4 linked regions of the Mus musculus genome follow. The protein of the gene in region 3 purifies or fractionates together with the protein of the main gene of each other region. This does not show direct contact. Links are inferred from orthologs where the notes say so. Each region holds a gene or a part of one and is shown on either strand. Other genes may lie near its edges. The genes, in order: Dnmt1, Hic1, Mta1 and Bcl11a.

Region 1 (4,924 bases), on a different chromosome or scaffold from region 3:
GGTCGGATAAAAGAGATCCACTGTGGCAAGAAGAAAGGCAAGGTCAACGAGGCAGACATCAAGCTGAGGCTCTACAAGTTCTACAGGTGGGCGTGGGCTCTGCCTGCCCAGAGGCCTTCCAGGAGGCTCTGCTGGTGGGGGTGGCTGCTTCTGGTTATCCTGAGGGCACGAGTGTGTTTGCAGAGCTGGAGCTTTTCAGGCATTCCTAGTTGTAGACCAGTGGGGAACCTATGTCTGACAAGGACCAAGAGCTGGTGTCAATGACTGTGTCCTGATTTGTCTGGGTCCTCCTTCCCAAACCACAGTCCCTTTCTCTGCTCTTGCATCGCCCTCCCTGAGCCTGCTCTGCACCTTCCTTGCTGGTTCTGGAGTTTGTTTTCCAGTCCTTGGCTTGACTCAACACTCCCCTACACACACACACACACACACACACACTCCCCTACGCACGCACGCACACGCGCGCTCACACACACACACACACACACACACACACACATCTTATACCTTTGTGCATTTGTGGGTGCTTTCTGCTTCTTTGATTGTGAATGGGTGTTAACTGGTTGACAAAGGCAGTTCGATCCCTAGGGTTTGAGGCTAGCTTGGTCTACATAGTGAGTTCAAGGATAGCCAGAGCTACAGAGAAACAAAACAGAACTGGGTTTCATTCTGGAGTTCAGGCTCCCCTAAAACATACTCTGTGGTCCACTCCTGCCTTAATACTATATTGATCCTCCTGCCTCAGCCCTCACTGTCTTTCCCTTGTAAAAATCCTGTAGCTGGAAGTGATGAGGGGCTTCTGTGAAAGAAAACTACCAGGTAGACCAGCCAGCACAGCTGGAACGTGAGACCAGCCAGCACAGCTGGAACCTGAGATCCTTGTCTGTGCATCCCAAGGGTTGGATAGCAGGCACCTGCTACTACACCTGATTTTCCTAGAGTCTTTGTAATAATGGGTGTGGTAAACAAAAGAGCAGGGCACCCAGCATTGATGGGTGGGATGAAGGCAGAGAGTACACCAGTCCCTGGTGGTGCCCAGGAATCCTATTCCTGCTGTGGTATTGGGGCCAAGTAAGGGTTGGTGGCCACCAAGCTGACTGGACTGGGATGTGGTCTTTTCTATGGTGCAGTTTGGTTGAGCATCCTCAAACCAAAATACTGAAAATTCTACAACTGATCTCTTCTTACAGGCTGCCACAGGTGTACTTAATGCTACGTAGAGACCAGAGAGATGGCTCAGTGCTTAAGATTTGATGTTTGTTTTCTAGCACCCAGATAGATGGTGGCCACGGTCATCTGTAACTCCAAATTCCACAGGACCTGCTGCCATTCTCTGCCCTCCGTGGGCATTGTACACACCTGTAGCCATACATACACGGACGGAAATTACCCATTCACACTAAATAAAAATGAATAAATAGTTTTTAAATGCTGCCTGAAGTGACCTGGGTGACGGGGATGGTAGCTGATGTCTGTGATCCTGGTAGTTGAAGTGCTGTGGCAGGAGGATCACTGAGTTGGAGGTCGGCTTGGGCAGCAGAGCAAGACACTCTCAACAAATAAAAGGCCTTGAAGCTGTGGTGTGAGGTGTACAAGACTAATAAGATTCCTGTTCTCAGACTCGGCTCTCAGTTGCTGGTCCAGGCATTTCAGAGGAGGGTGCTCGGCCGGGGATTATAAATCTGTGGTAAAGTAGTATTCCCCTGGTATCCTCCTCACAGGCCTGAGAATACCCACAGGTCCTACAACGGATCCTATCACACTGACATCAACATGCTTTACTGGAGCGACGAGGAAGCTGTGGTGAACTTCAGCGACGTGCAGGGCCGCTGTACCGTGGAGTACGGGGAAGACCTACTTGAGAGCATCCAGGATTATTCACAAGGGGGCCCTGACCGCTTCTACTTCCTCGAGGTGGAGCCAAGCTTCAGGGGCAAATGTGCAGGAGCAGGGTGCCCAAGACAGTGGCTCGGGCTGGGGCAGGGCTCAGTGAGACAGGGCCTTTGTTCAGCAGACGCTAGGCTAATCCTGGGTGTGTCTTTCGACAGGAGAAGCTAAGGAGGCAGCTAATTCATGTGTAGATCTGTTTTTTATTTTGTTTTTTTTTAGTGAATTTTTAAAAAAATTTTTATTTTCATGAGAATTAATTGGTATTTTGCCCACATGATATATGTCTGTGTGATGGCATCAGATCCTTGAAACTGGAGTTCAAGACAATTGTGAGCTACCGTGTGGGTGCTAGGAATTGATCCTGGGTCCTTAGAGAGAGCAGCTGCTACCTCATCTCCCCAGAGCTGTCTGTTTGGTCTTTTGAGATAGGGTCTCACTGTATAGCCCTAGAGTTCTGTATGCAGATTAGGTTGACCTTGAACTGACAGAAATTCTCCTGTCTCCTCCAAGTGCTGGAATTAAGACTTGTACTCACAAGTCTTAATTCCAGCACCTCCCCCACCTCCAATTGAGTCTTAGGTGTGGGATTTTGGCTTTTAAAGGAAAGAGTGCAGCTGGGGATATGGCTTGATCTGTAGAGTTCCTGCCTAGCACACATGAAGCCCTGGGCTGGGTTCCCACACGGCATAAACTGGCCGTGATGCCCAGCGAGCGGGCGGTGGAGGCGGTGTTGGGCATTGACACAGAGAGAGGTAGTGGCTAGCAGGCCAATTGTTAACATGTAAGGTGTTGGGGCTGAGCTGCACATCCTTGCTCACTGCACGTCCGTGCGCACAGGTCTGATTTCAGGTGCTCTGCAAAGTCAACACTCGCTTTTTAAGAGTAGTAATGGAGAATGCAACATTTTATTGTCTTAACAGCATTAAAATTTATCCGAGACTGTTTTTGTAGGCGTCTAATAACCATGCCTAGGGTTTTGATATGTATTGAGAGCGTCCCCCTTCTTGGAGGAGTACATTTCAGTCCCGTGTTGGTTGTATGTAGTCAGCTTCTCTGTAGCGTGGACTGGCCTCAAATTCATACTTGTGCCTCAGCACCTCTTCCAGCTGACTGTAGGTTTTGTCTGTTTCCATTGGTGAGATCAAATTCCATTGGTGGCTAATTGGCTGTGGCTGAACTCCGATTAAGAGACTGTCGGTCAGCTCTTAAACAGTGTGAGGGGATCCATGCATTTCTTCTCTACTAACGTGGCTTCTCTCTGCAGGCCTACAATTCAAAGACCAAGAACTTTGAAGACCCACCAAACCATGCCCGCAGCCCTGGGAACAAAGGGAAAGGGAAGGGGAAAGGTGTGTCCTTGTCCCATCTGTCAGTCCTCCTGAGTATGGTTCTGAGAGAGAAAGCGTGTGCCGTCTAGGCAGCACTGAAGCCCAGAAACTTCTGCCTCCACCTGCCAAATTCTGGGGTCATAGACGCCAGCGCTTGGGTGGCTGAGTCGGGAGGGTCTCCCAAAAGGCGGCTCTAGGTCACATAGCATGGCAGAGAAAGATCTCCCGAGTAGGCCTGAGGAGAGCACTCTGCTGGCTCTCCTCATTAACTGTTCCTCCTCCAGGGAAGGGGAAGGGGAAGCATCAGGTGTCAGAGCCCAAAGAGCCTGAGGCAGCCATCAAACTGCCCAAGCTCCGGACCCTGGATGTGTTTTCCGGCTGTGGAGGGTTATCGGAAGGATTCCACCAAGCAGGTAAGCAGGAGCTGGTGCTGACTCTGGCCTGGCTTTAGGGTGGCTTTCAGGCATGGCCGGCCGGCCGGCCAAGGTGGCTGTCAAGTGGTGCGATGCATGTTTGAGCAAATAGAATTGATTAAAATAGATTTAAAATGGCACTCGTCTGGCTTTGTGTCTACCAGGCATCTCGGAAACGCTGTGGGCCATCGAGATGTGGGACCCGGCAGCCCAGGCATTTCGGCTGAACAACCCCGGCACCACAGTGTTCACAGAGGACTGCAACGTGCTTCTTAAGCTGGTCATGGCTGGGGAGGTGACCAACTCTCTGGGCCAAAGGCTGCCACAGAAGGGCGATGTGGAGATGCTGTGTGGTGGGCCACCCTGCCAGGGCTTCAGTGGCATGAACCGCTTCAACTCCCGCACTTACTCCAAGTTCAAAAACTCCCTAGTGGTCTCCTTCCTCAGGTAAGCATGGACCACAGCCCTCTGCCATTTGCTGTGGAGGGGCTGACTCCCAGTCTAGATTCAGGTTTGTGGGAGCAACCCCAACGCCGCTCCCATGGGAGCTGCCCATGCCCTGTTACCGGTTGCCTGGGCATGGAGGGGTTTGCAATGACTGTGTCCCTCCTGCCCCTACAGCTACTGTGACTACTACCGGCCTCGGTTCTTCCTTCTGGAGAACGTCAGGAACTTCGTGTCCTACAGACGCTCCATGGTGCTGAAGCTCACACTGCGCTGCCTGGTCCGCATGGGCTACCAGTGCACCTTTGGTGTGCTCCAGGTGGGCACCACGCGGGCAGAGGGACAGAAATGGCCTCTCGTGGGACAGTCCCTGGCCTGCTGTGGACAACAGAGGGCAACAGAGGTCTGCATGACCACCACTGAGGCTCAGCTCAGACAGAAAAAGCATAGGGCTAGCCAGGAACCTTTAATCCCAGCACTAGGGAGGCAGGTAGGCAAGTCTGAGTTTGAGGCTTGTCTGGTCTACAGAGAGTTCTAGGACAACCAGAGCTACACGGAGAAAGCCTGTCTTGAAAAAGACAGTAAAGAGCATGGGGTGACGAGGTGCGGTGGCACAGGCCTGTCTTTTCAAGTCCTGGAAGGCTGGAGTAGGATCCATGGATTGAAGGCCAGCATCTCAGGATTCAGAGTTGGCCATAGCTCAGTGTGATACATCCACTAGCAGCACATTTCCTTGGTCCTGTCCCTGGCACCCAAAGTTAATCGGGTAGCTGGGACCAAGTTGGTAGAGCACTTGTTTAATCTTCAGGAAGCCTGGGTTCCATTCTTACCACCACACAGACGTGGTTGCAC
Region 2 (5,568 bases), on a different chromosome or scaffold from region 3:
AGAGTGAGGCTGCTGGGCCCGGGCCTGAAGCATATAGCTCAGCGCAGTGGGTGTTGACGGCTGCATCGGGGCCCGACGGCGGCTCGGCGGCAGGCGGCGGCGGTGGCCCGGCCGGGGACGAGTAGCAAGCCTGGATGACGGGCGTGGCAGCCCTCAAGCCCCGGCCGGGCCGCCCGTAAGGAGCGTAGCCGCCGCCGCCGCTGCCTCCTCCCCGCAGGTGGCAGTACTTGCCGTGGCGTTTGAGGCGCTTCTTGCACAGAGCCACGAGGTCAGGGATCTGCAGGTAGCTGGCAGCAGCCAGCACAGCGCCCAGGCTCGGCTCCGCGCCCGGGGCCACCGCTGCTGCTGCTGCGGCCTCAACACTGTCAGTCAGGCGGCCGGTGTAGATGAAGTCCAGCACCAGGCGGAACACGGCCGGGCTCACCATGTCATGGTCCAGGTTTAGCAGGTTGTCATGCACCACCAGGGACTTGAGGTAGGCGCTGCTGGCCGCCAGCACGTTCTTGTGCGCGCGGAAGAGGGCATTCTGCACCACGATGATCACGTCGCACAAGAAGCCCTTGGTGCGCTGATTGTTGAGCTGCAGCAGTAGCTGCCTCGAATGGCCAGGCGCCTCCATCGTGTCCAGCATCGTCTGCCCAGCACACTCTCCTGCGGGAGACACACACCAGCTGGGTAAGAGCTACGCAGTGCGGTGCCCTGGCCTCTTGTACCCAACCCAGTCGGTTCCCCTCCGCTTCCCCTTCCCCTCAGCTGATCAGGGGCATGGAGCACCACGGCCTGAACAGTAGCCGAGGAGGATCAGCGGCCTCCGGGAGTGGAAGCCTAGGCCCGCCGGCCCCAGACAGAAGGTGCAGGAGGAGAAAGGCTGTGGATGGAGAGTAGGCCAGGTTAGCCTATCTGTTCCAGCCCCAGATGCTCCTGGGCACTCAGGCTGGGTCCTGGGAACTTCCAGGGAGAAATCTGTTTAGGGCGAAATGACCCTTTCGGAGACAATTACCCGATTTAAGTAAAATGTCCGCTTCAGGAAAAGTCATTCAGGGCCGAGAAGTTTGCCCAAGTGGGGAGACAAGGAGCCGAGTTAGAAGCGCCTCCCGCCTCGAAAGAAGTTGCCCCGGTTAGGGGAAGTGATAAGGAAGACGGGAGCAAGATGCCCATCGAGGCACCGCCCTGGCCCGGGGCTGTCAGGCCTTCGTTAGGGCCGGCCGGCCCGGCCCGGGGAGCGGAGACAGTGGCTGCGGTGGCGGGCAGAGCGCGAAGGCCGGGCCCCGGCGCGGGGAGGGCGTTATATCGGGGCAGGAGGCTGAGGCAGGAAGCAGGTGGGGGGGAGGGGGGAGCCACGCAGCTCCCAGGGGAGGGAGGGGGCAGCGCCCCGGGCGGGCACGGCGCACAGCCGGCTGCGGCCCTGACCCTGGCCTGCGCCCCACCCGCGTTCTGGACCCAGCCGGGGCCTCGGCTCCACATCTCTTCCCCAGCTCCCCTCCGCCCCGTCTCCCCCGAAACTCTGCCGCCTCAAACTTCGGGGAAAACTTTCCCAACTTCAGACAGGGCGGGAGGAGCGCGCCGGCCCCAGCCCCCCTCCCTGGCCCCCAGTTCCTCCTCTGGGCCCCCAATTTCAGCAGCCTGGTGGCAGTGGGGACCCACACCAAATCTAAAGCCGCCCTGCCCTCCGGCGAGCACGCCCGCCCCTGTTCCCCGCCTGGCCCGCAGGGCCTCGCCGGCCCGTTACCTGCGGCGGCCGCCCAGCCCGGCTTCCCTCCCTGAGGCGGTGGCAGCTCCTAGCCTGCGCCCCACCCGCCCCGCTGCCAGGCGCCGAGCTGTGCCAGGGCAGCGCCCCTGCCAGCCCCGCCCGCCGGCTCCCCTTGCCTTCCCCTCTCCTCCCCAGCCCATGTGCGGGCAGAGCCGGCCCCGGGCCGCTGACCCCGCCGTGAACCCGGCGCCGAGCAGCGGCCCAGCCGTCCCGAGTCCTCTAGGGAAGACACTTAGAGCCCCAAACGCCAGCCGCGACCCGGGCGCCCACGCCTGAGGATGCTCCCGAGGTAGCCGGCGCACGAGGACCAGATTGTCCCGGGTCCCTTGCCCTTCCCTGTCGCCAACTCGAGGACCCACCTGGGGGGCATGTCGGAAGCCCCGGGCCCGGCTGCCGGCGGATCCAGGGGGGGACGTGGCTGCAGTGCGCTGCCCTCCGCCCGCCGGGCCCCCGGTCGGTCTGTCTTGCCGGTCCGTCCTCCCCGCGTCCTGGTCGCGTCTCAGCCCCTCCGCGCTTTCCGCACACTCTTATCTGGAGCGGCCCGAACCGGCAGACGCTGCCGCGGCCATGGCGCCACCTCGCGGCCACGCGGGGACTGTGTGCGGCTGGGCTGCGACCTCTGGCGCACACCTGGGCCAAGAGGCTTGCAGATGCGGAGCTGAGCAGATCTTGCAGGTTCGCGCGCTTCCAGATGTGCCCACCTGGAGACTCAGATATCGGACCTGGGAGTCCCATAAACCTGGGGGTTTTGTGCTGAGTGCTCCCGAGTACATATTTATATGTTATATCGCGCCAATTCGGGGGGGGGGAGGGGAAGGTTCTGTCTTCAAATGAGGAACTCTTAAGCCAGGGATGGTGGCGCATTCTTGTAATCATCCTAGCATAGCACCCAGGAGTTGGAAGCAAGAGGACCAGGAGTTCAAGGTCAGCCTCTACTACCTGAGACCCTATCTTAGAAAAGGGGTTGGGGTGGAACACTACGAACAGTATTCTGTGAGAGGGCGAGCTTAGAAATCCTAAGTGAGATGAAGGTACATACGTTCGGAGCAGGAGCGGGGCGGCTTTTATTAGACATTTCTGAACACCATTATTCACTTGGACTCAGTGGAGAGAGACACATTCCAACTCTCCCTCAGACACATGTTATCAGTATGCACATCATAAACCGTCCACACTCAAACTCTGTCCAAGCAGTGACAAGGGCGCGCCATGTTTACACAGACCGCCCACCCCCTCCCGGAGTCCCAACTTCTTGGGCTACTGCGGAGGCTACTACGTGAAACGGGGTAGAGGTCCTACCAAAGAGCCCTCCCCGAACTTGCGGGTCTCCAGAAGGACCCTAGAGCCCTCCATTGGAAATAGCTGGACAGAGCCCCCTTGCGACGTGCCCCTCAAGTCCCCAATCCCCCATCTAAGCAGTTTTGAGGGATCTTAGTTTGCCCCCCCCCAATACACCATTCGAGAGATATCACGAGAACGGGCGGCTTGAGACCCCCTCAAAAAAAGATCCTACACGCCACACAAGGGAGAGCTCATTCATGTTGGTGACTCCTCTTTTAGGAGGGAGGGGAGCGTGCACCAGCTCTTGGGTGCTCACCGGAAATGTCCCTGCATAGCGGGGCGGAGGCATAAGCACCGTTGCAAGCACCGCGCCTCCGTGGCCCACGCTCCGCCTCTTCCCCGCACCTCCTGACCCCCGCCCACGCTATAGGGGGGGTCCCCCCAAACCGCCCACAGCTTCTTATTGGCTGCGCCATCCTCCGTGGCCAAGCCGGAGAGGCTGGGGCTCAGAGTTACTATGGTAACCAATGAGGTTCCCGGGATCTCATCTCTCAGAGGCCTTGGAGAGCTTAGCAACCGCGCGGGGCGCAGGGCGGGTGGGGGCTACGCTCGCCGCACCCCACGCTGTCTTCGAGCCCCCACTCCCCCGCTTGAGGTAGTGGCTGAGTCACTCGCCCGGGGCAGCCGGCCGGGCCTCTAGCTGTACCAGTGAGACACCAAGGTCTTGGGCGCCTCCTAGAGGCTGCGTTTCTTTGGCAGGAGACTTCTATGCCTGGCCTAGGCTTCTGGTCCAAAGAGTCTTCAAGGCTCACCAGGTTTCCGCGACAGTGTGCTCCGCCTCCATCTAATCCACTTACTACTTCGTATCTCCGTACAGTGTCCATACAAGACAAACACTGCAGTCCCACGGTGGACTCCACAATTTCTGAGCTCTAGGAGAAGTGAAGAGGTACCTTGGTATCTCTGTCGAGGGATACGCCTTGGGGCTGAAGCGGAAGTGTAACGGAGCGTTTGAGGATAAGAAGGCTCCCCAGAAGTGCTCTTAGGGATGAGTTTTGACAACTCTGAGTTCTCCCACAAGCAAGGGTGTCTCTGATGTCTCTGTTTTAAATGTTTTCTCCTTTTAATGGGGTTAGATCGTGCGAGTCTGGAGAGAAAGCTCTGTATGTGTTTTACACAATGGAGTTTATCCGCTGGTTGACCCATAAGGAGGTCGGCTGGGTCTTCAGTTCCTTCTTGTTCTATCCCTCTCCACCGACTCAAGCCCTTGTTGTATCGCTATGGGGCCAACCACATAAACCTTGCCCAAGTTTCACTGTGTACTCCCCTCCCCTCCCCTCCCCTTCTCTCCTCTCCTCTCCTCCACGCCCCACCACCACCACCACCACAGTTTCAAGTCTACGGCTAGCCTCGAACTCACAAAGGCGTCTACTTCCCACGTACAAGGATGCGCACCACCATGCCCCTCCTCTTAACTTTGCTTTCCCCTTCTTCCTGAGCTCCTCTGGTCATCCTGGTGCAGCTTCCTCCTCTCCGTGAACGCATGACGACCCCATTTAGAGCCCGGAGACAGAATCGGGCTGTTTTGGAGGACCTGTTCCATATCGTATTTGCCTTTAGTCTATTCTGACTCCTTTAGAAAGGAGTCCCAGCTACACACACCCTCTGCCAAGCTATTGAGCCCCCTTAGTCTCATTTTCTCTCTTACAGGCTCTGCCTATGCCTATTCCACCCCACTGAGGTGGCCCCCTCGTGCCCCCTGGGGCACTGCCAAGTTGGCTCTCCAGTACTTGTCAGGCTAGCCCTTCCTTTTGTGGATACTCCGTACAGGGATTTTCCAAACTCTTACAGAAGATCTTCTGCTCATTTCTAAAGTCCAGACCACTCTCCTTAGACTCCCTGATCTTCTCTGCGGTTTCCACCATCTGACCGGTACCTTTCCTCCTGTGACCCAGTCAAGAAGCCTTCCAAAACTCCCAGGCTTCTCCACCCCTCTTTCCCCAGCTCCTAGATGTCAAAGTCCGAGGTGCACTCTACTCCCCTCCTAAACCGGTCCAGTTTCTTGCCTCACCCCCCACCCCCCCCCCACACACACACCAGGAGAGAGCGAGGATACCACGGTGGCCAAATGGGAGTGATACCATCGCGGGGCATCTTCTGGCGTCAGAGGACTGTAGGGTCTAGGGAATGAGCAGTGTGGTTTGGGGCTGCCAAGGGAGGACCCCTGCGGTCCAGGAGAAAAGAACTGAGATCCTAGGACTCGCAAAGCCCCGGAAGGGGAGAGTGAATAAACACAGAACGGGGCCTCACCCTCCCTGCACTATTCTCCCCCAGCCCGTCGCCTGCAGTTCCGGAAAGTTAACCCCTTGGAGGCCAAGCCTGGGGTTACGTACTCCCCTACCCAACCCTGCTTCCGCGTGCGCACCCTCCTCCCGCTCCAACTCCCTGTCGCTTCGTCCCGCCCTCCCCTACGCCCCCCCTCCCCGCTTGCCACTATAAATAGCCTCTTTTCCCGTTTCCTAAATTCTCTGCTGACG
Region 3 (4,924 bases):
CTGAGTCTCCAGCCAAGGGCTACATTCATAATTGAGTGAAGGTATCAAGCTTCCAGTTTGCATCAGATCCCATCAACTCCCCTTTGGCCCTTGGCATCAACGCACCATGTGGCCATGAACAGCCTACACTTGAGTTCCCGAAGAATACGGGGTTCCTAGTCAGGACACTGAGTAACAGAAGGACTGGATGTCTGTCGCCAAGAAGATATTCCTGACCCTTTGGAGAGTTACTGTCTATGGGTCCTAAATCCAGGACAGAGCAGAGCAAGGCAAGGGAGCTCTTATGACCAGCTAGTCACAGAGGATGAGGGTCCCACCCCTGCAGAAGACCCGGCAGGAGCCATGGGAGGAATGGAACTATCAGGTTCTCCGATGCTCACAGGCTACAGCTGGAGGCTACAAACTCCAGCCTATGCAGGCCCAGGACAGTGGCCTTTCCCCCAATGTTGTGAGTGGGTTTCAGTCTTGATGTGAACTGTGCTTAATCGGGGGGTGGGGGGTGTCACAGGGTACAACCCTTGACATTCTAAGGTCCCCAAAACCAAGGTGCTGTTCATAGCAAATGATCTGTAACTGCCTGGAACAGAGAGCAAAGAATGCCTGTGGAACTCAACCAGAATCACTCACTTTGAAATTTCCAATACAGTGAATGAAGGCAAGCATTCCATGTCATCATTCAAAATGCACACACTGGGGCGGAGACATGGCTCAGCCGTCAAGAGCATACATTGCTCTTCCAAAGGTCTTAAGTTCCAATTTCCAGTACTCCTGTCTACCAGAGCTCACAAACATTAGTATCTCCAGCTCTAAGAGATGCAACACTTCTGGTCTTGTCCAGACAGGAGGTGTGTACACACACACACACACACACACACACACACACACACACACACACACACACATATTCTAAAAGTTTAATTTTTTAAATTACACAGGGTTTCTCTGTGTAGCCCTGGCTGTCCTGGAACTCTCTCTGTAGACCAGGCTGTCCTTGAACTCAGAACTCCGCCTGCCTCTGCCTCCCAAGTGCTGGGATTGAAGGCATGTGCCACCACGCCCGGCTAAAAGCTTAATTTGAAGACAGATACCATGGGGAAGCCGCTGACCTTTGTGTCGAAAGGCTGCAGAGACTAGGAAGGAGGAGGACACTGTGGTAGCTGGAGACTCCCCTGAGGTCCTGCTTTTTTTCACAGGCAGGCCCCACAGACAAAGCATAGCTTTCTTGGGGGTTCTCCTAGCACTAGCCAATGAGCCCACACATGCCTGGGACACCTGGAGCAGCTTGATTCTGAGAAACAGAGGCTGAAAGCAAGGTCCTCTGACCTTTGAGACCTCTCCCACCTCTCTGGTCCCTGTGTAAGTTCATGTGACTGTGACAGCCTCGGCTGGCCTCTGACACTTCCCTCTGACACTTCCCTTCAGTCAGGCTGAGAAAGCGGATACCGTGGCTTCAGAGTTAGGAGGCTGGACAGAGTTCAGGCCTGTCTACAGAGCTTTAAGGCTGGGGCTATTTGGGGAATAAGCTGAACAGGCAGCAACTGGCTGGCTCTGGCTATGAGGTTGTGCATGGGCATCTGGAGGCCCAGGTGTTAGAGACAGGGTAACGAGGCTCAAGCACGGAACAGAAGTCAGAAAAGACCAGCCTCCCATACACAGCTCAGAGGGACGCACCTACTCCAACAGCCAGGCCACACCCAGCTGCCACCCAAGTGGGCTTAGCACCTCATTCTGAGGTCCAACAAACACCAGAAAATCAAACAGAAACCACAAGGCAAAGGGAAGGGCATGGAAAACGCAGGAAACAGGTGCTACGTCGGGCCAGCCACCCTGAAGGCAGCACACTGTCCTAGCATATGACAAGCTGTAGCTGAGGCCCCCAAAACAACCAAACAGCAATTGCCTCAGAGACTTGGTGCACGGAAGTGGTGCTCTCTGAGCCCCCAGTCCCAGCTAAGCCAACAGTTCCAGAAATGCGGAGCCTGACTGGGTCAGAGGCTGAGTGCTTCCTTAGGAGACAGAGCATCTGGAGCCCATCAGAGCATTTTGCCAGGGATGCTGAGGCGAGATGTGGAAGGGACCTGCACGCCTTGGATGCCAGGTCTGAGCCAGCTCATGTCAATCTGCTCGCACTTCCCACCAGGCCTGACAACCTGAGTTTGATCTCTGCTGCCACCTAGGATAGACTCAATTCTTGTAGGGCATTCCTGACTAAACCCCTACATGAATGAATGAATGAATGAATGAATGAATGAATGAATGAATGAATGAATGAAAGGAAGGAAGGAAGGAAGGAAGGAAGGAAGGAAGGAAGGAAGGAAGGAAGGAAGAAAGGAAGGAAGGAAGACAGACAGACAGACAGACATTTTAACCCCCCGAATGGGGAGGGGCTGGTGAGATGACTCAGTACGCTAAGGTGCTTGCTGCTAAGCCTGACAACCTGAGTTCAGCCTCCAGAACCACGTGAGAGGACAGAACCAACTCTACAAATTGTCCTCTGACCTCCAAAGTACACTAAGGACTTGAAGGACAAATTGGATTCCTGAGTCTCACATTGGGGAATGAAAAACCAGACTCTACACACACACACACACACACACACACACACCATGAATGTAGAATTATAATGAGCCAGGTGTGATGGTTTGCCAAAGAGGAAGGCAAGTTCAAGGTCAGTTTGGGCTATATAAATAAATGAGACCCTGTCTCAAAAAACATGGGATGGAGCTGGGGAAATGGCTCAGTGGTTAACAGCACTGACTGCTTTCCCAGGAAACCTGGGCTCACTCACCTCCTAGCCCCCACAGGGAGGCTCACAACCTTCTCTAACCCTAATGCCTTCTGACTTCCATAGACACTGCACACAAGTGGTGCCCTGACATACATGCAGGCAAAAGAATAAAATAAGTAAGGAACAAGGGTGGGAATGTGGCACGTGGCAGAATACTTTCCTAGCAGAAACAGTATAAAATCAAACTCATAATGAGCTACCAAAGGGAAATCCGAGGTCAAGGAGCCACAGGGCTCAACAGGCGGCTCTAGGGTTTGAGCCTTGCGGCTGGATGCCAATGTCCACTAGGACGGAGGCTTGGAGGAGCTGAAGCCTAGGTAAAAGCTACAAGTACTACCTCCAGCCTCCTCCATGCTGCTGGCCCAGCCTGAACCTCACCTTCTTTCAGCAAGTCAGTGATGTCAGCCTGGTACCGGTTTCCTACACGAATTTCCCCTTTATCAGCCAGGAGGGTCTTCTGCTGTGGGTCGTAGACTAGAGAGTAGAAGAAGAAATCCTGAAAAATACCACATACAAGACAGAGGTGTCAGACAAGTGTTCTCTTCTAGCTGCATCCAACAAGCCAGTCCAGTTCTGAGGGTGAGGGATGTGGTCCTGCCTGTCCAGGACCCAGGGCAGAAGCCCTGCAGCAACAGAAGTGAAGTAAGGACTAGGTGAGTCCTCATCAAACTGCTAGAGGGTACTTGCCTGGTGAGGGGCTCTCAAGGCTGCTGTGTACAGCCCCCTCACAAAAGCCACTGTCTTTCTGTCACTGCAACCTTTTGAAACTCAGCTAATGAAGGCCAGGCACAGTGGCACACTCCCTTAACCCCAGCAGTTGAGAATCAGAAACAAGCAGAGTTCTGTGAGTGAGGCCAGCCTGGTCTACATAGTGCGCTCCAAGACAGCCAGGGCTACATGAGAACCTGTCTCAAACATCACCACTACCCCTGGGGGATGGGGGGAGGGGAGCAGGGAAATCAACTTATGAGCGCAAAAAAAAAAAAAAAAACATGGTATCTAGGAATAAATTCTCCATGCTGAAGGCAGGCAAGCACATGAAGAGGCACCAAGCACAGCGCTACAGACCATACCAGGCTGCATCCTCATGGCTGACTCTGATGCTCTGTGCCTGGCCAGCAGGCTGACACTCACACAACACAGCCTTTCTTAATCTTTCCTGTGTCAGGCTTTAAGCCCAGCCTCACTCCATACAATCAGCATGGTGTTAGTTCTGAGTAGTGGTCTCCTGGGCCCAAGGTCACCCTCCTCCCTCCCGTCACCACCTGGGCCCTCAGTGCTCCCTGTTCCTGGGTCTATTGCCCAGCTCATCCACAGCTCCTTGGCAGCTGGCCCCTCACCTTCACATTCCACCCCACGACTTACAACTCCCCCTTTTCCAGCTTCCATTCTTCCTGCTACCACTCTGAAAACCACTAACTCCTCTTGGCCACTGCATGGAGGTGTTAGTCAACGACTGCTGCCTTTCCAGGGGTCCGGTCCACTCAGTGGACAGTGGTGCTGACTCAGGCCTGTCACTGCGGAGGAGAGTCTGGGTGGCATGGTCATGCTAGGCCTCCCTTCTCTTGGCTACTGTCTGAGACGTGGATGGCCTTCTCTCTCAGTGAGTCCCTGCCTGGAGTGCTGAGGTGCACATCTCATGGCGGCTCAGATTCCCAGCCCTGAAGGGGCTCACGCAGCAAAAGCTGAACCACCACACCCAACTCTTTCTGGGCTCTGCATGGCCGGAGTAGGGCTACAGCTGAGAACGCGGGCTTCTCAGTGAGCTCTGCATTTGGACAAGATCCCTGTGTAAGGGGTGTAAGCTGAGCGTAGGACGGATTCCTCCATCCTGGCCACGCAGTGAGTGAGGCCTGTCTAGGCCACCCGAGCTAGTGTGTGTGTGTGTGTGTGTGTGTGTGTGTGTGTGTGTGTGTGTGTGTGTGTGTGTGTGTGTATGTGTGTGAGAGAGACAGACAGACAGTGCATGCATGCTTCTTACTTGGCTTAGCATCCCTTTCAACTGCCACATCCTCCAGGAGACTGACACGCCAGCCAGCCATCTGGCCTCAGAAGCCTGACCTTCCCAGCAGTGGTGTCCTACAACATCTTAAGGGACCTTGCTTCCTCTGAGGCACTAGTTTCTTGGGGGTGACA
Region 4 (3,500 bases), on a different chromosome or scaffold from region 3:
TTTGCTTCAGGGGCAGCTGAGGTCCAGAGCATCATAATTTATGTGCAATAGTAGAATGTTAATTTCACTATACGAATGCCTTAATTCATTACTGTGAATTATGAGAAGTCATGATTCTAGTCATGATCTATCTCACTTTGAGATGTGACTATGATGTTTATGTTCAGCCAATACTAGGGTAAGAGCAGGTGATTAAACAGCATGAAGGAGCCGAGGTCTTGCAATGACCTGTGCATGAAAGGTTTACCTCTCCTGGATTGCATGTGTGCACTGTGAGTGAGTATGTGAGACACCTCTGGATCGCATGTGTAGCCTGTGAGTATGTGAGACACCTTAGGTGGCTTTCCATTTCAGGGAAACAATGCGCCGTTAGCCCTGCAAAACAGATTTCAAATGTGCACCCTCTCTCTTTCCTCTCTAGATTCTGCTACCATACCATAATAGTTTTGAAATACCATGGAATCATTATGACAACCAGTTAAGGGCTATTTCCTTCCCTGCACATCCATGGAGAGTCCCAACTACACAAGTAAAAAGCCCTAACTATTTATCTGAAGGCTTCCCTCAGTCTTCAGATTCCTCTTCTATATACAGAGGCCCTGATTTTCAAACTGGCTAACCTGAAACTGAAAAGCTATTTAGGCCTTCCGGAGTAAGTGTGGTTTTAATTCTTGCCTGACAGACACTGTGTTTTGTCTTTTAAACGAGCAGCTCGATATGTAAATATGATGTTACATCACACAAGCCTTACTCCATATTTGGTGATTTAGCAAGGCTTTGGATCTCCAAAGATGACAAATCCCCTTCCGCCTGCTCTTGCCTGCTCTTGCTTCATTAATCATGCCTTACACTTGTGTTCCTTCTCCTTCCAGTCACAAGGCAGCACATGGAAATGGTCATTGCCATATCCTACAGGGAGGTGGGGGAGATAAAAATCTTAACCTCCATGTCTCAGAAGCTAAATGTGGTGGCTTCTAGAAAAATACTCAGCACACGCAGCGTTCCTGGCAAGCAGAATCCTCACTTCACGAAAGGAAAATAGTTGAGTATTGTTGCAGAAAGCAGAAAAGAAAAAAGAAGATAGGAAATGCCACACTTGATCTTAACGATCAAATTCCAGATTTGGGGGAGGAGCAATGTGACATTTAATCCCCCCCCCCCTTCCCTGCCGCCCCCTCGCCCCCAGTTCAACTCCATGGTCCACCTGTATCAGAGACAAGTTCCAGTAAGTCTTGTGACTGACTATCTATCTACCTTGCCAAAAATGCACACACCTGCGTTTGGAGGGTGGGGCAATGCAGAGAAGGAGCTGTCTCCCAGATGTGGGAGCCCTGTCAGCACAGAAGCTGCTTTGCTCTGACTACATGCTAAAGCAAACAGTGTTTTAAGAACCACTACCTAGAGTTGCTGTTTATCACTAGGGCAGGGAATTAAATTCCCTCTGTTAGCTTCTAATTCCTTTTCCCTGGAGCTGCTGAGAAACCCACACACCTAGCTACCTCCTTGGTAAAATTAACCGAGAGAGAAAGCTGTTAAATATGTGCATGCATTTTTTTTTCTCCAAGAAATTTTTTACATTAGGCTAGGGAAGAAACTGTGGAGACTGGACTGGACATTTGTAAGGGTGACATGTGGCTGTGTAAACCACAAACAAAATCAAGATACATCTGTCAAAACCACATCAGAAACAAGAGAGAGCGCAGGGGAGCATTTATCACTGAGCTGAGGAGGCAGGCTGCAGGGAGCAGCCGTTCCTGTCAAACCAACCTTTTGAAATTTCCAACATGCCCTTAAACTTTTCGAGTAAGCATGTCTGTGCGCTTCAGCAACTGCCCTCTCTACTCTGGCCTGGCCAGTCGAAAATGGCATCTTAAAGTCAAGGTCACTGTGTCATCCCACCACGGGGCTGTGTTTAATTACAGCCCCATACAGGCTGACAGCCAATATGGATCCAAGGCTAGCCCTGGAGCTCAGTTAACTCTTTCTAGCCCTCCAGGCTAGTTATTGGCTCAACTACAGATGCCTGTGTGGTTACCTTGCCTCTGATACATCCCCAAGACCATAAGTGGACACTGGAAACTGAGCTAGGTGTGGTGTGGTAAGGTTCAACACTTTAAAATAGGAGGCAAGCAAGGGGAAGAGTGTTGGCATCGTCAGAGCCAGGCGAGGATGTCAAGGGTGTGTGTACCTTTCCCACCTGCATCTGACTCAGTAAAGTAGGAAACGATTTATTTTCAGAGTTCTGGACGGAAGCAAGGTGAATGATTACTTAACATTATAAGGCTGCCATAGACAGTCACAGGGAGAAATACAGACAGACTTCACCTCCTTCCTGCTTGACTACAATGCCCCTGCAAACAAACAGAAAACATGCAAACAGTTTCTCTCCTTCGCTTCTCATTTACCTGCTATGTGTTCCTGTTTGGGGCAAATTCCTCTAGATGACGTTGATAAACAATCGTCATCCTCTGGCGTGACCTGGATGCCAACCTCCACAGGATTGGATGCCTTTTTCATCTCGATGGGAGAAGGGGAAGGCGGCTTATCCACACCTTTTTCTAAGCAGAGGCTGCCATTGCATTGTTTCCGTTTGTGCTCGATAAAAATAAGAATGTCCCCCAGTGGGAAATTCATCTGGCACTGCCCACAGGTGAGAAGGTCGTGGTCCCCTTCTGGAGCTCCCAACGGGCCATGGTCTGGTTCATCATCTGTAAGAATGGCTTCAAGAGGTTCGGCTGTGGTTGAAGAAACAAAAGCACAATTATTAGGGAACCAGTGGGGAGAGAAAAGGGGAACAGACATTCTCAATCTCACCCCTGCCTTTCCAGACTAGAACAAGTATTTGGAGCAGTCTCTACATAATACCCAGGAAATGTGGACACAGGCAACAAATGCTCTGGAGGGTATCAATAATTAAATAATTAAATCTATCAGTGAGGTTGGCCATCATGTAGTAAAGGAAATCCCTCCGACTTGGAGAACTCCAGAGAACACACACACACTAGAAATTCTTTCTTTAGAAAGAATGTGATTTAACAGTTAACATACACAAATATATATATATATATATATATATATATATATATATATATATAGGCTGCTTAAATAATAACTACGGGAAAAACATGAACTCAAACCAATTTTGCTCCCCTCCCCCCAGCCCCATACAGTAGGTTGTCTATTGTGCCCAAGATTAGAGAAAAAAGGCGAATGAGCACAGGCAGCCTTTGTGTGTGAATCTCTGTACTGTACACACATGGCTTCCACACAGAAGGCTGCTGCAGCCACACAGGACTGCCACATTTGCACCGCAGTCTACCCATCACAATGAGGTGAGCGTCACAGTGCTAACATCTCCCTGCCCTCCTCAGCTATGAAATTCAAGGAACATCACATTCACTGGCAGGTCTTCCCAAACATGTTCCCTAAATGGGATACTTCTGAGTACTTAAGAAAATAAGCCAATTAGTCATGTTTTTTTTTTTCATCCTGAAGAAAAG

What was found.
Region 1: the proteins of Mta1 (region 3) and Dnmt1 purify together in Homo sapiens (affinity purification with western blotting; 4 studies listed by BioGRID and IntAct, with this or other methods). This does not show direct contact. The link is inferred for Mus musculus from reciprocal best matches to the Homo sapiens genes MTA1 and DNMT1.
Region 2: the proteins of Mta1 (region 3) and Hic1 purify together in Homo sapiens (affinity purification with western blotting; 3 studies listed by BioGRID). This does not show direct contact. The link is inferred for Mus musculus from reciprocal best matches to the Homo sapiens genes MTA1 and HIC1.
Region 4: the proteins of Mta1 (region 3) and Bcl11a purify together in Homo sapiens (affinity purification with mass spectrometry; 4 studies listed by BioGRID and IntAct, counting the BioPlex papers as one, with this or other methods). This does not show direct contact. The link is inferred for Mus musculus from reciprocal best matches to the Homo sapiens genes MTA1 and BCL11A.

The regions. Positions count from the first base shown.
Region 1 is NC_000075.6:20,910,884-20,915,807, reverse strand, and holds part of Dnmt1 (DNA (cytosine-5)-methyltransferase 1), read left to right. Parts: coding exon 1-86; intron 87-1,643; exon of another isoform or gene 1,644-1,718; coding exon 1,719-1,911; intron 1,912-3,151; coding exon 3,152-3,236; intron 3,237-3,499; coding exon 3,500-3,628; intron 3,629-3,792; coding exon 3,793-4,075; intron 4,076-4,249; coding exon 4,250-4,391; intron 4,392-4,924. UniProt on the Homo sapiens protein: Methylates CpG residues. Preferentially methylates hemimethylated DNA. Associates with DNA replication sites in S phase maintaining the methylation pattern in the newly synthesized strand, that is essential for epigenetic inheritance.
Region 2 is NC_000077.6:75,166,894-75,172,461, forward strand, and holds the start of Hic1 (hypermethylated in cancer 1 protein), read right to left. Parts: upstream 3,363-5,568; 5' UTR 2,627-3,362; coding exon 2,110-2,626; intron 1,754-2,109; exon of another isoform or gene 1,730-1,753; intron 1,260-1,729; exon of another isoform or gene 1,038-1,259; coding exon of another isoform or gene 1,001-1,037; intron 652-1,000; coding exon 1-651. UniProt on the Homo sapiens protein: Transcriptional repressor. Recognizes and binds to the consensus sequence '5-[CG]NG[CG]GGGCA[CA]CC-3'. May act as a tumor suppressor. Involved in development of head, face, limbs and ventral body wall.
Region 3 is NC_000078.6:113,121,477-113,126,400, reverse strand, and holds part of Mta1 (metastasis-associated protein MTA1), read right to left. Parts: intron 3,285-4,924; coding exon 3,167-3,284; intron 1-3,166. UniProt on the Homo sapiens protein: Transcriptional coregulator which can act as both a transcriptional corepressor and coactivator. Acts as a component of the histone deacetylase NuRD complex which participates in the remodeling of chromatin.
Region 4 is NC_000077.6:24,084,556-24,088,055, reverse strand, and holds part of Bcl11a (B-cell lymphoma/leukemia 11A), read right to left. Parts: intron 2,736-3,500; coding exon 2,406-2,735; intron 1-2,405. UniProt on the Homo sapiens protein: Transcription factor. Associated with the BAF SWI/SNF chromatin remodeling complex. Binds to the 5'-TGACCA-3' sequence motif in regulatory regions of target genes, including a distal promoter of the HBG1 hemoglobin subunit gamma-1 gene.